Linked DNA regions of Schizosaccharomyces pombe. Changing the gene in region 1 together with any one later gene gives a genetic interaction. Each region holds a gene or a part of one and is shown in the gene's direction. Other genes may lie near its edges.

The links. A genetic interaction does not mean that the proteins touch.
Region 2: of etd1 (region 1) and pab1, changing one suppresses a phenotype caused by changing the other (phenotypic suppression), as found in Schizosaccharomyces pombe (3 studies listed by BioGRID, with this or other methods).

The regions. Positions count from the first base shown.
Region 1 is NC_003424.3:5,086,118-5,090,238, forward strand, and holds etd1 (Spg1-binding protein Etd1), read left to right. Parts: upstream 1-1,861; 5' UTR 1,862-1,971; coding exon 1,972-2,881; exon of another isoform or gene 2,882-2,943; coding exon 2,944-3,209; 3' UTR 3,210-3,521; downstream 3,522-4,121. Other genes in the region: translation initiation factor eIF4A Tif1, read left to right, coding at 1-624. UniProt on the Schizosaccharomyces pombe protein: Involved in septation.
Region 2 is NC_003424.3:507,022-511,416, reverse strand, and holds pab1 (serine/threonine protein phosphatase PP2A regulatory subunit B-55 Pab1), read left to right. Parts: upstream 1-1,523; 5' UTR 1,524-1,725; coding exon 1,726-1,769; intron 1,770-1,813; coding exon 1,814-1,854; intron 1,855-1,931; coding exon 1,932-3,214; intron 3,215-3,236; exon of another isoform or gene 3,237-3,257; coding exon 3,258-3,281; 3' UTR 3,282-3,895; downstream 3,896-4,395. Other genes in the region: cleavage and polyadenylation specificity factor complex subunit Yth1, read left to right, coding at 81-250, 347-637, 697-748; yip5 (Rab GTPase-binding protein), read right to left, coding at 4,125-4,395. UniProt on the Schizosaccharomyces pombe protein: Phosphatase 2A affects a variety of biological processes in the cell such as transcription, cell cycle progression and cellular morphogenesis, and provides an initial identification of critical substrates for this phosphatase.

The DNA.
Region 1 (4,121 bases):
TTCCAACTTTTGCCTCCTACTGCTCAAGTTGTTCTTCTTTCTGCCACCATGCCTCAAGATGTTTTGGAAGTCACCACCAAATTTATGCGTGATCCCATTCGTATCCTTGTTAAGAAAGATGAGCTTACCTTGGAAGGTATCAAGCAATTCTATGTTGCCGTTGAAAAGGAAGAGTGGAAGCTTGACACTCTTTGCGATCTTTATGAAACCGTCACTGTTACTCAAGCCGTTATTTTCTGTAATACCCGTAGAAAGGTCGATTGGCTTACCGAGCAGCTCACTGAGCGTGATTTTACCGTCTCCTCCATGCACGGTGATATGGACCAAGCTCAACGTGATACTTTGATGCATGAGTTCCGTACTGGTTCTTCTCGTATTCTTATCACCACCGATCTTCTTGCTCGTGGTATCGATGTCCAACAAGTCTCCTTGGTTATCAACTATGACTTACCTGCTAACAGAGAAAACTACATTCACCGTATTGGTCGTGGTGGTCGTTTCGGTCGTAAGGGTGTTTCCATTAACTTTGTTACCAACGACGATGTTCGCATGATGCGTGAGATTGAACAATTCTACAATACACACATTGAGGAAATGCCTATGAACATTGCTGACTTGATTTAAAAAATACAAAAGTCCTTTCTTCTCTTTGTTCTAGATATGGAACGCTCCGTGATTGCTCTTCTCGCAACCCGGCAAACCTCCCGCAACTTAATTTATCTGCTTTTCTTTGCCCATGTTTTTAATGCTTCTTTTATCTGTGCCGGTTGATAGCTGCTCACCATATGGTTTTTTGTGAGTCGTGTTAGTGTTTGCTGAGAAAGGATTTTTTTTTTCGGCTACGCTGTTTATTCATTAGGTCACAAAATAAAAGGCTGGATTTGGTTGATTTACATATATTTACTCTTCTTTTGAGCCTCGTGTAGCTGTTCTGTGATTACTTTTATAAATGTGTTGTAGTTTGGTTAGAAGGTTTGTCGTTTTTTTGTTTTTTGGTAAAACTAAATGAGTGAATAGAGGATGTCAATCTGTATTTTGGATTGAACTTTTATTTACTGCGTATACCTTTGTGGAATTAATTTTTTTGCTCAGAGCTAACGTATTTGTGTTAACCGTAACTGTCCAGTCGTACTTTTGTAAGGAATTAGGAAGTTCCTTTTGCTAAAAGTTAAATGGTCTGTAGTAATAAACAATTCTGCTAGGTAAAAGTTATTATTAATCATTGATCCATTAACCTATTATATTCGCTATGTTTATATTAACTGTGAGATTAAAGGTTGCATCACTTTACGCTCTCAAAAACGTAGCTTTAAACTGCAAACATTATTTGACTAGTTTTAAAGAGTTTGACTTTTAAGTCAATGTAATGAAAGAAAAGAAGAAAACAATGTTTTCCCTGCATCAACAGAGTTAGTTGAAGAGTTTATCGTAAGCAAGTAAAGAAAGTTGAAAGGCGTATAGCAACTTTTGATGCTAACATTGTGCTCATGAACGAGCAGTGGCTTTGAATCTTTGTAGAGTCATTCATCTTTTCAGTTTTTGGCTAACTTATTTATTTTAAGTTGAACATTTTTAATGAATAAAACTTGTAATAGACAGTCTTTTCCATTTCCTAGTCTATCTCTGCTAGCATTCCATCTTTACAAAGCCCTATTTAACGTAACCACGATTAACGCGTTATAAAGTATTTATCAGAATTATATAGCGCTTAAACAACATAACGAATTGCGTTCTTTGATGTTATAGAACTTTGTATTTCCTTATAAATCATTTACAGATTCATGTTCAAAATTCGTTATGTCGTTCTCATGACGACCGTTTGTTTACTAACAAAAGCGTGGTCTTGACGAAAGTGCCTTCTACCATTATTTACACACTTGAATGGGTTGACGCGTACAGTCTTTTCTCTACGGCAATAATTCTTTCTTTAATTTAGCTTAAGAGAAATATAGATTTACGAGTATTTCGTCAATGGGAGTTGTATACGGCAGTCAACAAAATTTAAGTGAATATTTCTATTCTTCTGTCAATATGGCAGAGGTTCCAGATACTTTCGAAGAGAATAGGGGTCATTCTTTTGAAGGTGTGACTCTACAACGAAGGCATGTGAAAGGCATGAAAAGTTATGGTTCAGATATTACACCGAGGCGCCCTAAACAGCTTGGATTACCGAAAGAAGTTAACACCTCCGAATGCATAGATCAAGGCTCATGGAGGAAACCCTCAGCATTTGAAAGCTTAAGAAGTTACTCCCGAAAATTTTCTAAACGAATTTTTTCATTCATAGGAGTTGAGTCAAAAAGTACTGTACAACGCAACGCTTCAGGTGCAGACAGTACGTCGTTGTCTCACTTTACGGCGAATGAGATAAACAAAGGCAACTGTAAAAAAACTGCGTTAAGTAATGAATTTAATTCGGCCAATAAAGGGAGCAAGGCTAGTGGTGTAGGTGCTGAACTACCTTCAGTTAATGGATTTATTGAAGGTGAGCTTCATGATGATAATGAGACAGATTCCTTTCGGATAAATGAATTAGCTAAGCAAATCCAAGAAACTTCTTTGGGTGCGACTACGCAAGAAGATGAGAGTTCGGATGGTATTTGCTGGGACGAGTTATCGACTACTTCGCCAGAGTCGTCGAAAGTGTCGGAACCTATCATTCAAGACAATACGCAAACGACTCATATAAATAACGATTCATCGGATATTCGATTTTCATCTCGTTGCGATTTATTTGCGGACGATGCGGATTCAGATTGGGAGCAGGACTTTAATGTGAAATTCGATAGTCCATTGATAATTCCCGAAACGGTAAACAGTGCAGGACACACCGTTCGAGAACAGCTTTTTGAGGTGAAGGAATTTACGAGATCCATCAAAGGTAAGACATTCATGTGTTGTAATGCTTTAGTTTTAACCGCTGCTAACTAAAAACACAAATAGACTTAAAAGATCTTTACGAAAAGGCAAATTCCAAAGATATTTACGACAAGGACTCAGAGATTTTAGGAGAGGCTAAGGCTATTCTACGGTTAGCGGATCCTGCAAATTATTCTGATTTAAAGGATGAGGACGCGCAAAACATTTTATCAAAATATAAAGTTAAGTTGGAAGGGGATTCTTCATTAGATTTCGATGCGTCCATGCTACCAGGGCTAAACGATCATGTGCATTATTTAATGTCCCAACTCCAACTATTATTACACTGAGTTTCTCTTTTTGGCTATTTAATCCATTAATGGAATGGGAAGTATCTATTTTGTTATCCAAAGTGTCAAAATTTCGCTTAGGATAATTTCAATAATTGTGAGAACAGTTTCGCATTGGTGGATAGCAAGTAAAGGTGAAACTGGCCATTACAACCTTTTTATACTTCTGCATCTTAAGAAGCTTTTGGTTTTATTGTAAATTTCTTTCGTTTTCTCTTTTTAATAAATCTATTTTGCAATAATATTTCGGAAAAAGTACTAGACAGATGTTTTGTCTTTTGTGAATATTAGTCCAACCTTTATTCTGTGATAAAAAGATTTTATTAAATTAAAGTAAAAGAATGTAAATCAAAAATACCTGAAAACCCATATCTATGATTTTGCTATTTAGTGAGAAATTCCTCATTGCACTGAAAATCCTTAAAACTAGTACCCCACTTCATACTATACTACGGGGTTAGACCACAATTAGTTGTTTATCCTTTGCACACCGCAAACCTATAAATTTTCTTTTTGTCAATTCCACATATTCTACAAGGAGGATTGACTTTTTAGTTCACTGATTATTGCTCTTTCAACAATTTATACGCGGTAGTTTTACTGCTCTTCGGCTCGTATAATTTTTTTACACAACACTTTTATCGATTTTTTAAGCCGAATTTCTACATTTAATATTTTATCATTTTTTTCTGCTCATTAATATTTACCGTATCTTTTCGAAAACCCATTGCTTTGGATGTGTGTGTGTGTCTCTCTCTCTACGTTCCTCAATTTGACTGCATTACTTTAATATACTTACAACCTGAATTCTGTTCGGTTGGTAATTCCTGCAATCGTTATTTGTCTTTGTCAACTTCGGATTTTTTATTTTTACATATAACAGTAGTTGCATTGACTTCGCTGCACAATTCC
Region 2 (4,395 bases), 4.6 Mb from region 1:
TGAATGCCAGTCAATAAAGTATTTGTGATATTCAAGTCAACTGAACAACGTTGCCTCCGCCATCTACTGGTTACTACAAAATGACTGATTATATCAAAGATAAAGCTATAGCAGCTGATTTTTCTTCAGTTCAATTTCGTTTTGATAACTATTTAAAGCAAAATTTTAATTTCGGAAGGTCTGCCTTGCTAAACTCTGGAAATGGACGCGATTCTGGATCGAAAATGGGTAGCGTGGTTTGCAAGCATTGGTATGTATATATAAAGAAGAGTAATATGAATATATATTTCATGTATTTTTCTATTTGTTTTTGTTTCTACCTTCATGATAACTAATATTATATAAGGCTTCGTGGACTTTGTAAAAAAGGTGAACAGTGTGATTTTTTACACGAGTACAATTTAAAAAAGATGCCTCCATGTCACTTTTATGCAGAGCGCGGCTGGTGTTCTAATGGCGAAGAGTGTTTATATCTCCATTTGGATCCCAGTAAACAAGTTGGTGTCTGTGCCTGGTATAATATGGGATTTTGTCCTTTAGGACCTATATGTCGAGGCAAACATGTACGAAAACCAAGGCCTTGCCCAAAATATTTAGCTGGGTTTTGTCCGCTAGGCCCTAATTGCCCAGATGCTCAGTAAGTTTTTTGAAGAATTATAGTGTTGACTTTCTCTTTCTATTACTAACATGTTCTAGTCCTAAACACTCTGAACCTCCGCATCCTCCTCAAAAGCGGAAAGACTGGTAAAGGATGCGTTTTTTAATGTGTCACTGTATATTAGGTAATGAAATCAAGTTATCAATGGAGTATATGCAATTAGTGATGCCGTACATTGATTATTGAGATTTTTTTTTATGGAATAAAATTAATTATCGACGTTGGGTTTGTCTTGGTTGCGGCGAACCAAATCGACACATAATCGGGATAATAGAAGTATTTAGAAACCGAAAAATAAGTTTTAAATAATAAGTCTCCCTTTTACATATGTTTTTTGCAACATAGAAGGAAAAGAAAATTTAGGAACTTAAGTATCGTTTACCAGTATGTAAAACGCTTACGTAGAGCGCCATCGTAATGTATCAAGGACGGTTTATTCATTTAATCATTCATACGTTATTCGTAAAATATTTGCTACTTTCCAGTTATGTTTCTTATTTTTTTGTAATTTACTTATCTGCTGTATTCAATTTTGCAAACTATAAAAACAATATGGATCTTTTATATGACAATGAACTTCTAGTTTTTTATAATCAAAAACACCTTTCTTTAGCGTACAAATGATTAAGGTTTCATTAATGGGAAATTGCCAACAAGTTTTACACTGGACTTTGTAAAGTTGAGCAAAAAATCCTATGTGTAGTAAAGCGTAAGATGAACACTGAAGTAATGAAATAGTGTTGTATTTATCAAAAATCCATTAATAACTTAAAGTCGCTTAAGGCTTGATTTACCGATAAAAATTTTACTGAGCTTTTGACTCGCCGAAGAGTGGTGTAGATTCGTTAGGGTAGCAGCATTTGATACGAACCATCAAGTTAGGAAAATCAGCAGCCCTCCAAAAAAGCCAGTGAAAACTGGGAAACTTTGTATCAAAACTTTTGAAAAAAGATCCAAAGACGGTATAGAGATACCCTTAGAAATTTGAAGATCAAGATCTTCGTATACAATTGAAATTGGCAAAGTGTACCAACGGGAACGAAATCTTAATATAATACGAGTAGAAGATGGATGATATAGAAGACTCTTTGGATCAGTGGAAATTTGCCCAGTATGTAAACGATGTGTGAAAAAAATTAATGACTAACTCTTTAGATGCTTTGGTGACAAGGGTGATGTGGAAGACATCACTGAAGGTATTGGTTTTGAGTAGTTCTCTCATAAAAGAGTTCTCTTTTACTTTAATCACTGAATAAATGACTAACAAGTTTAGCCGATATCATTTCAGCAGTAGAATTCGACCACACAGGTGATTATCTAGCAACCGGCGATAAAGGTGGCAGAGTCGTTCTTTTTGAGCGAAATCATTCGAAAAAGGGTTGTGAGTATAAGTTTTTTACTGAATTTCAAAGTCATGAACCCGAGTTTGATTATCTCAAGTCCTTAGAAATCGAAGAAAAGATCAATAAAATTCGCTGGTGCAAGAGGACTAATCGAGCGCATTTTTTACTCTCAACGAATGATAAAACTATAAAATTGTGGAAACTATATGAAAAGAATTTGAAAGTCGTTGCCGAAAATAATTTGTCGGACAGTTTCCACAGTCCTATGCAAGGACCTTTGACAACACCTTCGCAACTTCGACTCCCACGACTCAACCATCATGACATGATTATCGCTGCATATCCACGACGTGTTTACGCTAATGCACACGCATATCATATTAATTCGATTAGCGTTAACTCTGATGCAGAAACTTACATTTCCGCTGATGATTTACGTATCAACTTATGGAACTTGTCCATCTCCGATCATTCATTCAACATAGTTGACATTAAACCTGAAAATATGGAAGAACTTACGGAAGTTATTACTAGTGCCGAGTTTCACCCGATAAACTGCAATCATCTCATGTATAGTAGCAGCAAGGGAAATATCAAACTCTTAGATTTGCGTCAATCTGCGCTCTGCGATAATCCATGTAAGCTTTTCGAGGATCAAGAAGATCAAGATTCCAAGAGTTTCTTTTCTGAAATCATCTCTAGCATTTCAGACGTTAAGTTCTCACAAAATGGCCGCTATATTCTTTCAAGAGATTATTTAACTCTTAAGATATGGGATGTCAACATGGAAAAAGCTCCCGTTAAAACTATTCCATTGCATGATGTTTTGCGATCAAAGTTATGCGATCTCTATGAAAATGACTGTATTTTTGATAAATTCGAGTGTACCTTTTCTGGTGACGACAAACACGTTTTATCAGGAAGTTATAGCAACAACTTTGGGATTTACCCCACAGATAGTTCTTTGCCTGGCGATAGAGGACAGATAGTTTTGCAAGCCGACAAGGCTGCATTTAGAGCCAGAAAATCTGCTGCAAATAACGTTCCAAAGTTGAATGCTGTGAAAAATAATGATTGGCGGTCACAACCTCAAGCTGCGATGGGATCTGCTTCTGTTGGCCTTGATCCTGATAACCTGGATTACAATAAGAAGATATTACATGCCAGTTGGCATCCCTTTGAAGACTCAGTTGCCATCGCCGCTACTAATAATGTACGTTTGCTTATCAACTTTTTGTTTACTAATGTTTCAATAGCTTTTTGTTTTCTCTAAGCTCTAATGTCCTTATGTGGAGTTTGGTTTGTTTTTATGATCTACGGATAGACTGAACATAGTTCCTTTTTTATTGAACTTCCGGGAATAAGAGTTTTCTTACCTTCTTCTTTCAGATTGTATTCTTATATACACACACCATTTTAACCATTAATGACAGAAATAAAGTTTTTAGGACTAATGATAAAAGGGTGCTTTGTTTATCTCCCTTCATGTATGCCGTGAATCGATACATATGTACTTTGCTATCCACAGTATTTTTCTTTTTCTCTTTTTACGTGTTCCTTTTTAATCTTGAAATTGTGGTGATGCATCGTAAATTTCAACGTTTTTTCAATATCTCACAAAGTTTTTTTCTCTTGTTGAAAAAAATCTGAATTTGAAATCGTAAAAGTACTTTTCAGGTTAAGCTTCACCATTAATTTACCTTCAGCTCTTTTTTGTTGAACAACGAGTAATAATGTGTTAAGTTTTCTATATAAATGACGGGAGATCGATTGCAAAAATATGACTAAATGTCATAAAGTCTTTGGTTCACTAAAAAGGCTACAATTATTTTTACTAAGGCATGATTCATCAATGCATAAGAAATGATTATTTATACGTATTTTGCACCTGAAAAAAAAACCTAGTAAATTGAGGGAACATTAGTAGCTATAGTAAAAAGAGTAGAAAATCAAATGTAAAGCGAATATATGTATAAACTGAATCATATAGAGTATACCAACACTTAGACTCAATAGGATCTTAAATGCTGAATGACTTTTCTAAAGAATGAAAGAAGGGGAATAGTATAATTTTCGAATGAAGCAATGCGACTGATAAAAGAAACTCCTCACAAATTAGGATATTAACTGAAGAATATGAGTTGAAGAGACAAAGCGAGCAAACAGTGAAAGACGATAATTCCGAACAATAAAAGTTTGCACAAATTTGATCCGGCTTGCTGACAGATAGGATATAAATTTCTAGTTAAAAACACAATGGAAATTAACAAACCAATCCCTGTAAGTACATATTTGACAATATGGGAGGCCAAAGTAGATAGCAATCCAAACGGAGGAGTTGCTAAAGAAACGGGAAGCCAAACAATGTTAGCATATCCATATAAACACAGACAG